Linked DNA regions of Lepisosteus oculatus. The protein of the gene in region 1 purifies or fractionates together with the protein of each later gene. This does not show direct contact. Links are inferred from orthologs where the notes say so. Each region holds a gene or a part of one and is shown on either strand. Other genes may lie near its edges.

The links. Proteins that work in one complex are often made in the same cells at the same time.
Region 2: the proteins of prkcz (region 1) and nipsnap2 purify together in Homo sapiens (affinity purification with mass spectrometry; 3 studies listed by BioGRID and IntAct, counting the BioPlex papers as one, with this or other methods). This does not show direct contact. The link is inferred for Lepisosteus oculatus from reciprocal best matches to the Homo sapiens genes PRKCZ and NIPSNAP2.

The regions. Positions count from the first base shown.
Region 1 is NC_090720.1:3,965,387-3,972,341, forward strand, and holds the start of prkcz (protein kinase C zeta type), read left to right. Parts: upstream 1-3,927; 5' UTR 3,928-5,051; coding exon 5,052-5,122; intron 5,123-6,955. Other genes in the region: uncharacterized protein, read left to right, coding at 92-247, 806-896, 1,918-2,074. UniProt on the Homo sapiens protein: Calcium- and diacylglycerol-independent serine/threonine-protein kinase that functions in phosphatidylinositol 3-kinase (PI3K) pathway and mitogen-activated protein (MAP) kinase cascade, and is involved in NF-kappa-B activation, mitogenic signaling, cell proliferation, cell polarity, inflammatory response and maintenance of long-term potentiation (LTP).
Region 2 is NC_090721.1:5,712,977-5,719,863, forward strand, and holds the start of nipsnap2 (protein NipSnap homolog 2), read left to right. Parts: upstream 1-3,882; 5' UTR 3,883-3,910; coding exon 3,911-4,020; intron 4,021-5,195; coding exon 5,196-5,335; intron 5,336-5,552; coding exon 5,553-5,598; intron 5,599-6,388; coding exon 6,389-6,483; intron 6,484-6,887. UniProt on the Homo sapiens protein: Protein involved in mitophagy by facilitating recruitment of the autophagy machinery required for clearance of damaged mitochondria.

The sequences.
Region 1 (6,955 bases):
ATCTTCTCAGTTACCCCCCCCGGATGATCCAAGTGTAATTCAGAATTATTGACACGATGCTAGAGTGTTGAAACACTTATCTTGTGCTCAGAGCTGGGTCTTTTTGTGAAGTCCCCCTGCACCAAAGTGAAAAACACTGTCTGCCACTGCTTGAAAGACTTCTACTGTGTGGACGGCAGCAGTGAAGAATGCCACCTGTGTCCTAAACACTCCGTCTGTCAGCCAGGACAGTGGGTTAAGCAGAATGGTAAGTCAGAAACCTGGTTCCTTTCTGCTTCTATTTATGTGTTTTTTGTAACCAGTCTGTTTTAATTTGGTTTGATACACGGATGATCTTTCAGAACACAAGCCAAGTGTCAACTAAGAATCGGTTATTGATTTATATCATGTACTGTTTAAGCTAATCATAAGATGGCTTGGTGACAGAGTGGCTAGCATGGCTGCCTCACATGGCTGGGCCCTGTGTTCAGTTCCAGACCAGGGGTGCCGTGTCTGTCCGCCCTGTGTTTGTGGGTTTCTGCTGGGAGCTCTGGTTTCCTGCCACAGTCCAAAGACATAATAAGTTAAAGGGAGTCTGGGAAAACTGGCCTTGGTGTGCATGCAAGAGTGTGTGCGTGTGTGTGCCTGTATTTGTGTCTGTCTGCCCTGTGATAGACAGGCGTCCCGTCTAGAGTGTCTCCTGGCGTGTGCCCATTGGTTGCCAGAATAGACTCCAGCTCCCCTGCATGCAACCCTGAATAAGAATAAATAGACAAGAAATGGATGCACATGTTAATCATAACTTATGTGTTATTAATATGTTCAGGAACAGCTAAATCTGACACCATTTGTGAAGAATGCCCTACTGGCACATTTTCAGCAGAAGAAATGTCATTATCATGCACACCCTGGACTGTGTAAGTGTCTACATCTTTCTTTTGGTGTCTTGTAAAATAATGTCAAAATGAATGCACTAATATTATTTTTTTACTGATACTGCGGTATGTTATGAACATTCAATATCTCATCTTGACATCTTGACACTTTTGAATTGTGAGTGCTTTTATTTCCAAGAACATAATCCATGAGCTTTTGCACAGGGACAGATCATGATGTTCCTGTTTTTTGGCATGAAGGTACAGTTCCAAACCAGGATGGTGCCGGGAAAACTGAGCTGAGTGAAAATTGTAACCCGTGGTATTTCACAACCAGAGACAAATTGGTTGAAATAATATATTCTCCATGTATATGGTTTTTCCCCCAGACCAGGAAGTGCAAAAGGACTGTTTAACCCATTCCAGTCCAGTGCAGCATCTTAGAAAAGATATTCCGTATACAGTAGAAGCAGCTGATTCTAGGACTGACTACATGTTTTCCATACTCCCCAGTCACACTGCCACTACCCACCAGAATTCTGGTACTAGATTGTGGTGAACGCCTTCCTGTCATAACAGGAAGATGGATTGTAACCTGTGATATCCAGGCTATCTAACAAATCTTGATTACCGGGAGTCATTAAGGAACTACATCCTACAGTCATGAACAGAGTCAGAAATAGCTCATGAAGGTGAATGGCCTTTTAGTTTTAGACCAGGGCTCGATATCTATGCTTAGATTAAATCCAGAACTTTTCTCACACTCATATGTTCCAAGTTCTTTCTTCATGGGGGAGTAAAGATCAAGTACCTGTATGAAGTATATGCCTGAAGTCTAGTTTAGTAAAAGCACATGTAGAACCAGAATCAGTATCTGTCTTGGCCTCTTCAACAGCTCTTCTGTGGAAATCAATAGGGATAGACGATGAACAGTTTGCAGATGAGAATAAAATAATACAGTAGCAGGGCTTCGAAAACCAAATGTTATTTTTTTCTTGTGTTGATGTGTTCTCATACTGGTTTATTCTTGTATCATGTGTGTGTATTCTTTTGTCTTTTCAAGGTGTTCAGGTGGTGTCCTGTCTAGAGGAAATTCAACCACTGACGTAAACTGTAATGCATCCGTATCAAGACAGCATACCATACTTGTTGTTTTCATAGTTGTTGTTCTGGTTTTACTTGTATTTTTGATGTACAAACTAAAAACTCAGAAGTCTTAATTATGTGCTTTCAAAGCTATTTAAATATATTGTAAAGAGATTGTGTGACATAAAGTAATGTACCTCAACAGTCAACATCATTCTTGAATAGAATTGTATCCATGAACACAGTCATAAATAGTGCATGAATACCCCTTCAGCTGTATATCTTGGTTTCTTATCTAGGCTTAGATTAAATCCACACTCTATTCATATATTCCATGTTCTTTCTTCATGGAGGGTAGAAAGAAGAACATTCTGTCAAGCAGAAAGCTGAGATTAGTTAATCGATTTGCAATTTGCAGCTTCTCATTTAATGTGGTCCCTACTTTCAATTGGAAATTAAATTGTTTTGATTAAATCCCCATGTTTCAAAACTATGCCAAACTTGAATGGACATTTTTAAATGTAACCAATTTACCTATAACATATAGAATCCACTAATACTAAGTGTTTAATTTTGAAGACATTTCTTACATCGTACTTCTCTTTAGATGGAGGGTTGTATCCAGTGTTGCATTGTCAGAGCACACTAATAATAATTAATGGCATTTATTCACTGAAGTAGGTCCACTACATCCATCACTGAAGTTGGGCACCCTCCTAGGTGATGCCCAATACTACATGTCAGCAGCCCCAATACAGATCAGGCGGAGAAGAGGAATTACTTCGCTAATTAAGAGGGAACTTTAGGGAAACCAGATTATCCAAGAGGTGCAAAAATTGAAAAAGAACTGAAGGTCACGTGAATGTTAAATTTAGAAAAGTATGTAGCATTTTTGTGTATTTTTTGTGAAATAAAATGTTAAAATAAAAAATAATAATAATAATAATTATTATTATTATTAAAAATAAGCACATACTAGATTCTATACTAACACTGGATTCCTTTATATTTTCGTAATTTGCATTACTTTAGAAGAAACATATTGTACTTTCTCTGAATATGTATGTAAGAACTGAGACAGGAAAATAATATGTATGGAGTTTTTTTTGTATTTCTCGGGTTTTTCTATTGTTTGAAATAAAAAATAATTGCACTGTGAACGGCTTTTTATTCCAGACTGTTGGTTTAAGTGTTATATGCAGTTCACACCGCAGGTGGCGCAAACGGCAATTGTAAGAGGACCTCTGCTTTTATGTGGAACTCTTCTCGTAAATTTCAGACACCCTAGAAATCCTCACTTAGAACACCTTGAGGCATTATAATTACAGATCTGGACCTGATTAAGATTTACTGAGATTACATAAAACCTTTTGTACAGCACGACCTTCCTAGAGCAGCTCATTAAAGTACGTTCTCTTGTTGTGCGCAGTCCGCACTTGAACAATGCATTCTTATTTGCATCCAATGTATAAATGCCACCTGTCAAAATAAGACAAAACGACATTTTATTGCTGACTGTAACGTCCTCGCACGGGCAATTTATCGCTGCCCTTTTTAAATTCATTGCATGTATTCAAAACATTTGGATACTATAGATCTTCGTTTTGTATGCATTATGCGCAACGAATGTCCAAACCAAGATATGAATTGGTTTTAAATAAATGCTTAGAGAACTTTCTTCTGTCCTGTTATATTTAGCAGCTATGGAAAAGAAAAATGCATGATATGAGTTGTTCAATATGTTCTGTTTTGCGGGCTTTTGGTTGGACACAGGTAAATCCAACAGTCGTCTGATTGGATAAGGAATTTTCCGTTCACTTTTTAATTCAGGTAAATCCCGAACGGAATTCCAATTGGACGGGGGTAATCCCACGAGTTTTTGGATTGGCTACAGGTGTTGCCTGCTCTTCCCGGATTGGAAAGCAGGTGTGACTCCATCGTTCCGATTGGCTCCGGCTCTGGAATTCTCCGCCATGTTCCCTCAATCCTCCCGGGAGACGCTAGAAGCCGTCTAAACAGAAACTTCTGGAGTTGTTTATGATTGCTGCGAGCTGGGAAGAAAACGATACAAAAATCGAAATAAATACAAGCAATGCACGAGAAAAACAATAACTACCGGGACTAAAAACTCATTTCTGAGAATTTTTAAGCACCGAATTGTTTTTTAACTGGTTTCCTGAAGTTTTTGATTTGGCTATACTTTGCTCAGTAAGATAGCTGTCGTGGGACGGTAAATGTTACAGTTTTACTAACTTCAGATGAATACGTTATCAACAGATTTCTGTATTTTTCCCCCCCGATAGGCAGAACAACATTCTGGTGACGGACGTCTTGGAATAACATGGATTTTTGGAATAAAAAGTTGAAACTTGGAAGTGCACGACTAAATTCCAGTTCAGCCTAATTTAATTTTCCAGTTATACACTTCACATGCTGAACTAATATGTCTATTTTGTCCTCTTTAGCGCAATCATTTAACAAGCCATTGTAGGAGTGTAGTGTAACTGCTGAATTAAAGCTAAATATAATATTGCAACGTACGTCATCTCAGATCATTTATTAACTGCGTAAAATCTATTAATGTTGAGCTGGATGTTAACGCGATGAACATTTGTGTCTAACTCAAGCGGAAAATGTATTTTCCATCCTGTGGGGAATGAATGATTTTATGATTTTATAGAGTCCTCCTTTAAATACAGCAGCTCATTATTATGTGGGTCCGGCAGTTACAGTAGTGTCTGTACCGTACTAGTGTTTCGAGTAATTGCGTTTCAGGAGCAACACAACAGGTGGAATTGAGGAAGGCCAGTCCAGACTTGCCAGTGTCCCTCTGACTACTGTGTCGCGGAATAAGTAACCAAGGCAGGTGACAGGTGACCGAATTCCTAGAAGACGGCAGCATGATACAGAATCGGGGAGAAAATAAATGAGATTTTTAACCTTTTTTTTTTTTTAAAAAAAAGCGCAACCTGTTGAATTCGCCCTGTCGGTTGTAGTCGTTAACACGGAGGGAACCAACAACAGAAGATCCTGTTTCACGTACTGTATTTGCTACCCCACTTCTGTCGGATTACAGTATTGGCTCTTTATATTTAATATTTTTGGAGTACAATGCCTACCAAACAAGGATCCGTGATGAGCATGCACCTGGAATATGTGCAAATTAAGGCACATTACGGCGGGTGAGTGTAATAAGTTTAGGTTTTGTAACCTGATAACTGTTAATTAATTAATGAATTGTCAACAGCCCACGTTAATCGGCTTCCTCTAAATAAACCTCTGTAACGGGACTTTCCACGTTAACTGAGCAGTGTAGTTTTAATCCCGTTGTTGAGGGAATTTTATTTAGATGAACTGATGGTAACCACAGATGAGGTTTGAGTGCTTTGCGATTATTGGCTTTTCGATTTGGACTGCTCTCTCAACCCTTTTCTCAAAGGCTGAAAAGCAAGACAATTCGCCATACTTAGACTAAACATCTTTAACTATTAGATATGCATGTAAACAGTTTCCCCAATTTCCTGACTCCCCTTTGGCTATTGTGAATGACGCTGTCTTCCTCTTCAGGTTGATCAATAACTTTTAAATCTCTTCTCATTCGTTGTTGGCAAGGTTATATGAAAGTTTGAGGTACATTGTCTTACAACATGTTTGCGGATGGTCTTTAGATACTGCCCTGTTAAGTTCTTACTTGGGTATATATAAGTTCTTACTTGCATTATTTATCTGTTGCCCAGTCGGGGGTTTTTTTACGTTTCTGTCTTGTTAGTGTTTGGATGACATTAACCGTGTAGTGGTATGTGTCTTTCAAGGTGCCCACTTGTGCTTTGTGGGAGTTAATTTTTAACTTACTTTCTGTACGCGAAAGAGGCAGATCCCGAAACTCTGAAATCAGGTGTTGCAAGAGTTTGTGTGCGCTCAGTATTACATACAGCTGTCAACGTCACACAGATACTGTTATTTCTGAGTTTCTTAAACTCACGCTTATCCGGGTCATATAAAATATAAGAATATCACGATGGAATTTGGATAATCGTTCCATCTACTTATCAAATCCGTAATGTTTTTGTTTACTAACCTCTTCATTGTATAGGTTTGATGCTACACTATACAACTAATTTAACTTTGGGATAGTTTTTGCACTAACTGCAAATTTCATACTTAGTTCTTCTGTATGCGCTTGGACAGTTGTGTACTTTTCGATTTCTCTAATTTCAATGGAGATTAATTTTAATACTGCTTTCTCTAGTCAGTGTTTATGATTAATCCCCTTTAGTTCTTGGGTTTATTATTGAATCTACCTAGAGTCAAAACAAACTGTGACTGTCTGGGTCTGTGTAGTTCAGAACAGCTCATATATGTAAATACATCAAATGGCTATAGAATTCCTCCGTTGTTTTTTGATGTAGAACTACAATGACTGAGATAAAGTGAATACTTTGTCTCGAGCTTGAGTTAAGTAAATATAGATAAGAGAATATAGTGAGCATCATTTAAGAACACAGTTTGTTTACAAACTTTTTTGGTCCATAGAAAATTCTGCCTTTGGGTTTCTAAAGGCAAATCTTAACACTTGACTATAAAAGTTTTATAGAAAGTTTTAAAAATAATATAAAAGTGACCTTCATTAGAATCAGTGTTTTTATAGAAGGAGAACAATGGAATTGTTCTGACAGAACTTTACCAGACTACAGTCTTGGTAATTTGCTGAGTAGTGCAAAAAATGTTAGTTCTGTTGCTTGTTTAAAGCATTGACCTACTGAGATATAGCGTTAATAAGTCACCAGATTCTAGCATTGGCCTGTTGGATTCTGTTTGGCCTGGAACCTATTGCAGGTGCATGCCAGTTCAGAAAATGACAGCAGAGCAGCTGGCTGAAAAATGACCTGTGTTACACTGTTCCTGAAGCACTCCTTGACTGAAATTGACAGGAGGGGACAGTGTCTTTAAACCAGCTTTCCACACATAATGGAATATTGTGTCTAGTGTGAAAGGCAAGTCATTACTCACACTGT
Region 2 (6,887 bases), on another chromosome or scaffold:
CAATTTAACTGCCTGCTTTCGGCTGTATTACTCCTGTTCGAGTAACGACCAGAAAAGATTTTAATCGTTCGACTGGTTCTTTTTTCATTTCTTACTTTTATATTTCTTAAACAAGTTGGTCTTTCTTGCCAAACTTTAAAACAGGAGTTCGTAAACACAGCTGTATTAAAAACGTGTCAACATTAGAAACACAAACTCAAAGCAGCCCAAACTGTACTAATCAAAACAACTATACTGAGACAATCTATTTTGACCATATGCTACAACTTTTTAAGCAAACACAAACTTCAATATCAAAAGGCTTATTATATCTTAGAAAAACTGTCTAGAGGTTCAAATGAGTACATTATTTTCTGTTTATATATACCTTTTCGGTAGATCAACAACACAAGGCCAAGTCCTCGGAAAAAAGTCCAAGCACGTATCCTGTCCGAGCGGAGCAAAAATCGAATGGCTCGCTTGTACTCAACGCCTAGGTCTTACCCTTAAGCGATGAATATTAACGAAATAAGACCAATAACAAAAAAGTTCTCCGAAACTCCCATTTCTGGGAAATAAAAGTAAAAGTTTTAACCAAATCTCTCAGTATTTTTTAAAACTTATTTTTAAATAGAGTAACAACGATTAACTTCACGAGTTTCGATAAAGAGGCTTTGTTTCACTCTACAGGTGAGAGAATGAACAGCAGGCAGCTGTTTTTTTTTTAAAACTGCTTGATTTTTTCAAAGCAATAGAGATATCACTGAGGTTTGACCCTATGCGATAGAGATTTTTTTTTTACCAGGCTAGACTGTATTTCTCACGTTTTTTATTAATCGCTACGTTAAAATCGTATTGTTGCAAACTTTATCCATCATATTTAGTAACACCTGAAGTGTTTTTAAAGTATTAGTATTCTATGTGGATGTGTATGACCTGATTGCATTCCACCGCCATTGCATTTTAAAGTTATGATGTTGCTGTATGAACATGATATAATGTCCCATACCGCGTATTTATGCTATGCGTCTGCATACAAATCTCGGTTTTGTTTTGACATTGTTCAAGTGTCGCCTTTCCCCTTCCGAGGTGCCGTAGTTTCTGTTTATGGCGTCATCATAATGCGCCGCTTTATCACAGAAGGCATGGAGAAAGAGATTTCCGAATTCCTGACCTTCATAGTTTAATCGATTTTCGTATTTTTGCTAATACTCTGTCTTACATTTTAGGGTAAGAAGTTCCGTATCTGGGAGACATTTTGTCAGTGTCTTAAAATAGATCATTGTCTTCTAATTTTGAACATGTGCTTGCTATAATACACTTTGTTTACGCGAGCTAATTTTGCAATAGATTAAAAATGTATATCTTTTGCAAGATATTTTTATTCAGAGTTAAGCATTAGCTTAATCTAAATCACCTGTAGATTTATCAAATTTAGATTATACATTTGCTATATTATAGTGAAATGCTTAAAACGCGCTTACATTCGTTATTCTATTATGTATGTGATACAACAATAGTGCAAAAAGTTGTTTTTTATTATAAAAAAGTGTCAGTGTAGGCGAAGGTATCGTTTTGCTGCTGGTAATTTTCAGTTTTCGTACAATAAAGACCTTTAAGATCCGCGATGGTTTTGACCTTTTGCTGATTTTACTTTTCCGTAAGGTTTTGAAAGCTGTCAGAATGTCTGCAAAACAAGCCTCAGTCCACGCCAGATGGATAATAGGCAAGGTGATCGGAACCAAAATGCAGAAAACCGCAAAAGTTCGAGTGACAAGACTTGTATTGGATCGGTATCTGATGAAGGTAAATATTATATATTTGAATCTGTTTGATTTTGGCGACAACTATCGCAAAAAATCTGATGTCTACAAGATGAAAATGTTCTATCTATATATGCCAGTCTCAGTTTAGCAAATGCACGGATATTGTTTTAAATTTGTAGAAAAAGAATGAATGTCCAAACAAAAAAAACAGATTACAGAGTTGATTAGATGTGGATTTAATGTGAATTAAGTTAAACTAGTGGATATAATTCTAAATAATGATGTACAAATTCTGGTATTGTAAAGAACTTGCATTGACAGTTCATAACAGTTCATAAACTGCTGCTTCAAAATGTCCAATTTTTAACATCAGGTTTATGGTATATCATGTCATTCACAGTTCTACAACAAAAGGAAGACTTATTTTGCACACGACGCTCTGGAACAGTGCACTGTTGGAGACGTGGTTCTTTTGAAGGCACTGCCTGAGAAAAAGTCAAAACACGTTAAGCATGAACTTGCAGAAGTTGTGTATAAGGTTGGGAAGGTTGTAGACCCACTCACTGGGAAGCAGGTTGCTGGAAGCCTGTTTTTGGAGCCCCTCTCAGACTCCACAGAGACTACCGCTGAATCTTTAACCGAGAAGCTCCAGGAACTGAACATCACAGCAGCATCAAGCAAAACTCCAGAGAAATCTTCTGAAGTCTGAAAAAGTCATTTTAAAAATAAACTTTTTTTTTGCAATGTGTCATGATGTCCATATCTGTCTTGATCGATTTTTGTTTTAATTTAGTTTTTTCAGATGTGAAAATGTGTTAGCACATTGAAAAGTAAATCAAGGAACAAGCAGAGTTCATTCCAACAGGAAAAGTAAAGCAGAAAGAAAAAAAATATTTGAACTGCAGTCTTTAGGTTTCAGAAGAACTGTCTCCTCTCACTGTGCATTTGTTTTGTTCTGTAAAGCACTCTGAGTAGCCACTTTTAAAGGTACTATGTAAAATAAAGTTTATTATTTTATTATAGCTGAGGAATAGGGTATGATGAACCCTCATGCCTGAAGAAGATTCCACAGCTAAAACAGTTTTCTTTTGTACTTGATTCCTTTGAAGCTTTCTGATATACTGTTGTGCAACGGCACTGCTTTAATATTTAGAAGTTAAAAAATCAATTGTATAAAATGTACCTCTATGGAATCAAGATTCTTTGATTAGCTATTAAATAAAATTGCATCTTTTTTAATGTGAAAAATTTGAAGCACTGCGATTGTACCCTTGAGCAAGGTATAGTAATTTACACATGCTGACCCACTACAGTATATAGCAAAATTATATAAATCGGTATTCTCCAGATCATCTTTATAAATGAGAATTCTCAGTTGAGTTATCTGGTTAAATGATGCGCTCGGAGCTACAGTAAGCTTTTTGAATTGTAAATATTACAACATCATTTTTTCGAGACTATGCTGTACAGTACACTTACTCTCCTTGGCACTCCCATGTCAAATAAATGAAATGATTTGAATATTAAAACCTTTGAAGAATATGTATGTTGCACATATAAAATATGTTTAGTGAATTCCCTACATATCTGATGGTTTTGGCAAAATAGAAAATCAATTTGGGTTGGAATACAGAATTGTCAACATATAATTGCGATGTTGATGATTTCTGTGTTAACTGCGTTGTTTATATAACATTGTTTTCTCCATTTATGGGAATACTGTATATGATATAGCTAGGTTACTAAGGGAATTCCCTGTATGTTATTAGCACAACATTACCATTGTAAATTACATTTCTAATTTTAATTTAAAAAGCTTTTTGAAACATTAAAGGTATTTCTAGCTTCACTTGAGTCTTGTGATCTATATTTTAACAGTTACACTTCGAACGTTTTATTCTCTCTTCTTAGTCCTAATTGCACGTGTTCAAAACATGATTACCTCGCAATCTTAAGACCATTCCAAAATGTGAGGTTGCACCCTACGGACAGTTACCATCCGTAAGCAAAACAAGTCTTTTCTTGGAGTAGCGTACCCCCAGATTTGCAAGATGAAAGCTCAGGACCTTAGACATCACGTCGATTCTTTGCATAAATTGCCTTCACTGCCCTCCAATGGCTTTCCTGATTCAGATAATCTGTTACGTCGTTATCAGTGGCAGGAAATGCTCAGCCTGAGGAAGATGGCGACTCGAGTCCTTCGGAGTTTGGGGGCCGACCTGAATCAAGCAAGAACTAGGGTCCGAGCCCGAGGACAGCTCGTTTTCGTCTCCAGGTTCGTCTCTTTCCGCGCAGTTTGTAATAAACATCGCGGTGTTTTTTTTCTCTCATACTAAAGGTGCTCTTTCTGCGTGTTTAGGTCCATGCTTTTTTTGTGCAGCCGATGTCGCCGCCCCCTCCAAACTGTAGTGTAGGTTGGGAAAATAATGCGCTTCCAGCCCTGTTTGGGCTGTGTGCAATTTGCGCTGAGATATAAAAAAAACAACAACGTTTAAAACTTTATCTTAAAGCAACACCAGTTATACTTTTGGGCCTCCTGTTTCCTTTCGTTTCCCTTTTTAATATTGACCTCGAAACAGGCCGACTATCTCGCAGGAAGTTTTTGTCGGTGGTGTGCCTGCAGTTTATCCAATTGCAGCTCAAGGTCATTATAAATGTCTTTGTTTACTGAGCATACATGGTTACCGTTGTAAGGAGGGCACTGACTACCATTTTTCTTTGTTTTCACCGTTAATTATGTGATTGACCTTGACACTTTTTTTTTGTCAACGCAGTGTTTTCTGCGTGGTTTATTCAGTGTAGTACTTAGGCTTATGTGATATTTATTTTTAGTTATGCCATTCTTTCTGATTTATCCGGACATATGTGTATTATTTTTAGATTCAGTAACACCGATTATGATATTGGACGTATTCCCATTTTATAATAAAATTGAAACACTATTCCGCCTTACGACCACTGTCGTCATACAGTATGTGTTCATATGCATAGAGTCTCTCCTCAGTACCACAGCAAGGTTAGGCCCGGTCAGTAGCAACACTAATGACCTCCAAAAATGCTTATGAAGGTAGTGGTGGGGGGACTTTTCAGGCTATTTTTCTCCTCATAGACCTTCAGTATCCCTCATCACTATTAAGGGTGGGAAGGAGGCTGGTTATTTCAGATTTCAGTTTCTGGAGCTCTAATCAGATGTGGGCGATGTGCTTACAAGCATCAATCAACAGAGAGCTCATTATTCACTGGAGATCGAAATAGGTGTAAATGAACCTCTAGTTATATATTTTTTTATTTCTCCAACTTTAACGTGGCTTTTCTGGAAGTATTATATATTGCTATGATAGTATTTCTGCTATGGTGCACATGCACACTTTCAGGCGCGAGTGTATTAAAACTTGTGTAAAACCTGTCTCAGTACCAATGACATTCTTGGCTTCTCACTGTTGCCTTCAGAGCCCTGTCAGCGTCTACTAACAGGAATGGGGAGGACAGCTGGTTCAAGTCTCTCTTCGTCCGAAAGGTTGATCCGAGAAAAGACGCCCACTCTAACCTCCTCGCTAAGAAGGAAACCAGTAACCTGTACAAAATTCAGTGTAAGTTCCTTGCTCATCACTGTATTCCTTGCTATTACCAGATGCAACAAACATCATGTTGGCAAGTTATTCTGAAAGGCTTGTTGTTAGTGTAATATATCAAGACCTTTTTTCTTTGTGAAAAGCCACAAGTAGAGAAAAAGTGGTGTTAGCTATTTACTTTTCTTAACTTAAGAGGAACACTCAAATTTTTGAATGTTTTTATTTTTGTTTCCAGTTCACAATGTAAAACCTGAGTGCCTGGATGCCTACAACAAACTTTGGTGAGCTTTCTGCTATCATTCTTGCTAAGCAAAAACAGGAACATCTGTATAGCTGTAGTTAAACTGAGCGTGATGGGATTTTATGTCATAGAGTGTGTTATAGCACCCGATACATTTGGAATGATTTATTTGAAAAAAAAATAAAATGTGTGAATTTTTGAAAAATTTAAAACAAGAACTTTTGATGTTTCCATGAGCCAGTTATGAATTTACAATGTATTTGCAGGTATGAATATGCCTGATTTCATTCATTTATTACAAAGCTTCTTGGTGATTCATAACTGCAGACCAATGAATAATAGATCTTTATCCTGCTGTTTCACGGTGTTGGTAATTGTTCCTGCTTGTACCCACACAGGTAAAAAGCATGAAGTAGGCTAACAAATTTGAAAAACTCTTTAAAAAAGATGATTTGGAAAAATATGTGGATCATATTTAAATAAAGATTGCACACCATTTAACTTTACAGAAAGGAATTAGTGTGCCCTGGCATGTAGAATGCACATGGGAGCTCTTTATGAATATGGAAGCAGATGGTTTTGGCTTATGACTATGTAGGGGACTGTTTCCTAACTGAACAATCCGATGATCATAACACTAGGCAAAAGCACAATCGACAGCAAGGACTGTAAAGCAGCAGCAGCTGCAAGAAATGACAATGCAGTCACTTAAGATGCAGCTGAGGAAGGGGTCTGTCTGAGCAAGAGTGACAAAGGTGAAGGTGAAGCAAAAGCTTTGTGCCCGAGACAATGGCCTTTGAAGTGTTTGACTAATTTAACTCTCCATACAGCGAGGAGGTTTTGCCATCAATCCATGCAGATAAGCACTACCCCTGTGAGCTGGTGGGCACCTGGAATACGTGGTACGGGGAGCAGGATCAGGCTGGTAGGGGACAGCACCGGTACCCAGCATGCAATGTCTTCTGCAGTCTGTTTTACCAGTAAACCTACTTGTACACTTGAATACATAATGCTACACCCCTTAGGCCACAATTTATTAGCTAGTGCTGTCCCATAGTATGACCAGGTCAAAATGTCATGCTTTGATTTTTCCAGGAGATTGTAGAATATCAGGTATAACTACTCCATCATGACACTGCAAATGAGCCCCTGTCTCTCAGCAAACTCGTACTGAGAACTGCTCTTTTGATAGAAAAGACAACAGCAGTTGCTTGTTTTTGTATGTCTGTGCTTGTCTGTATAGAGCAGTGCAGCTCCTGGTATTTGAAGAGGAAATAGTTCTGGGTTCCTTGTGCCTGTTGCTTGCTGGGATAGGCTCCGGCTCCCCTG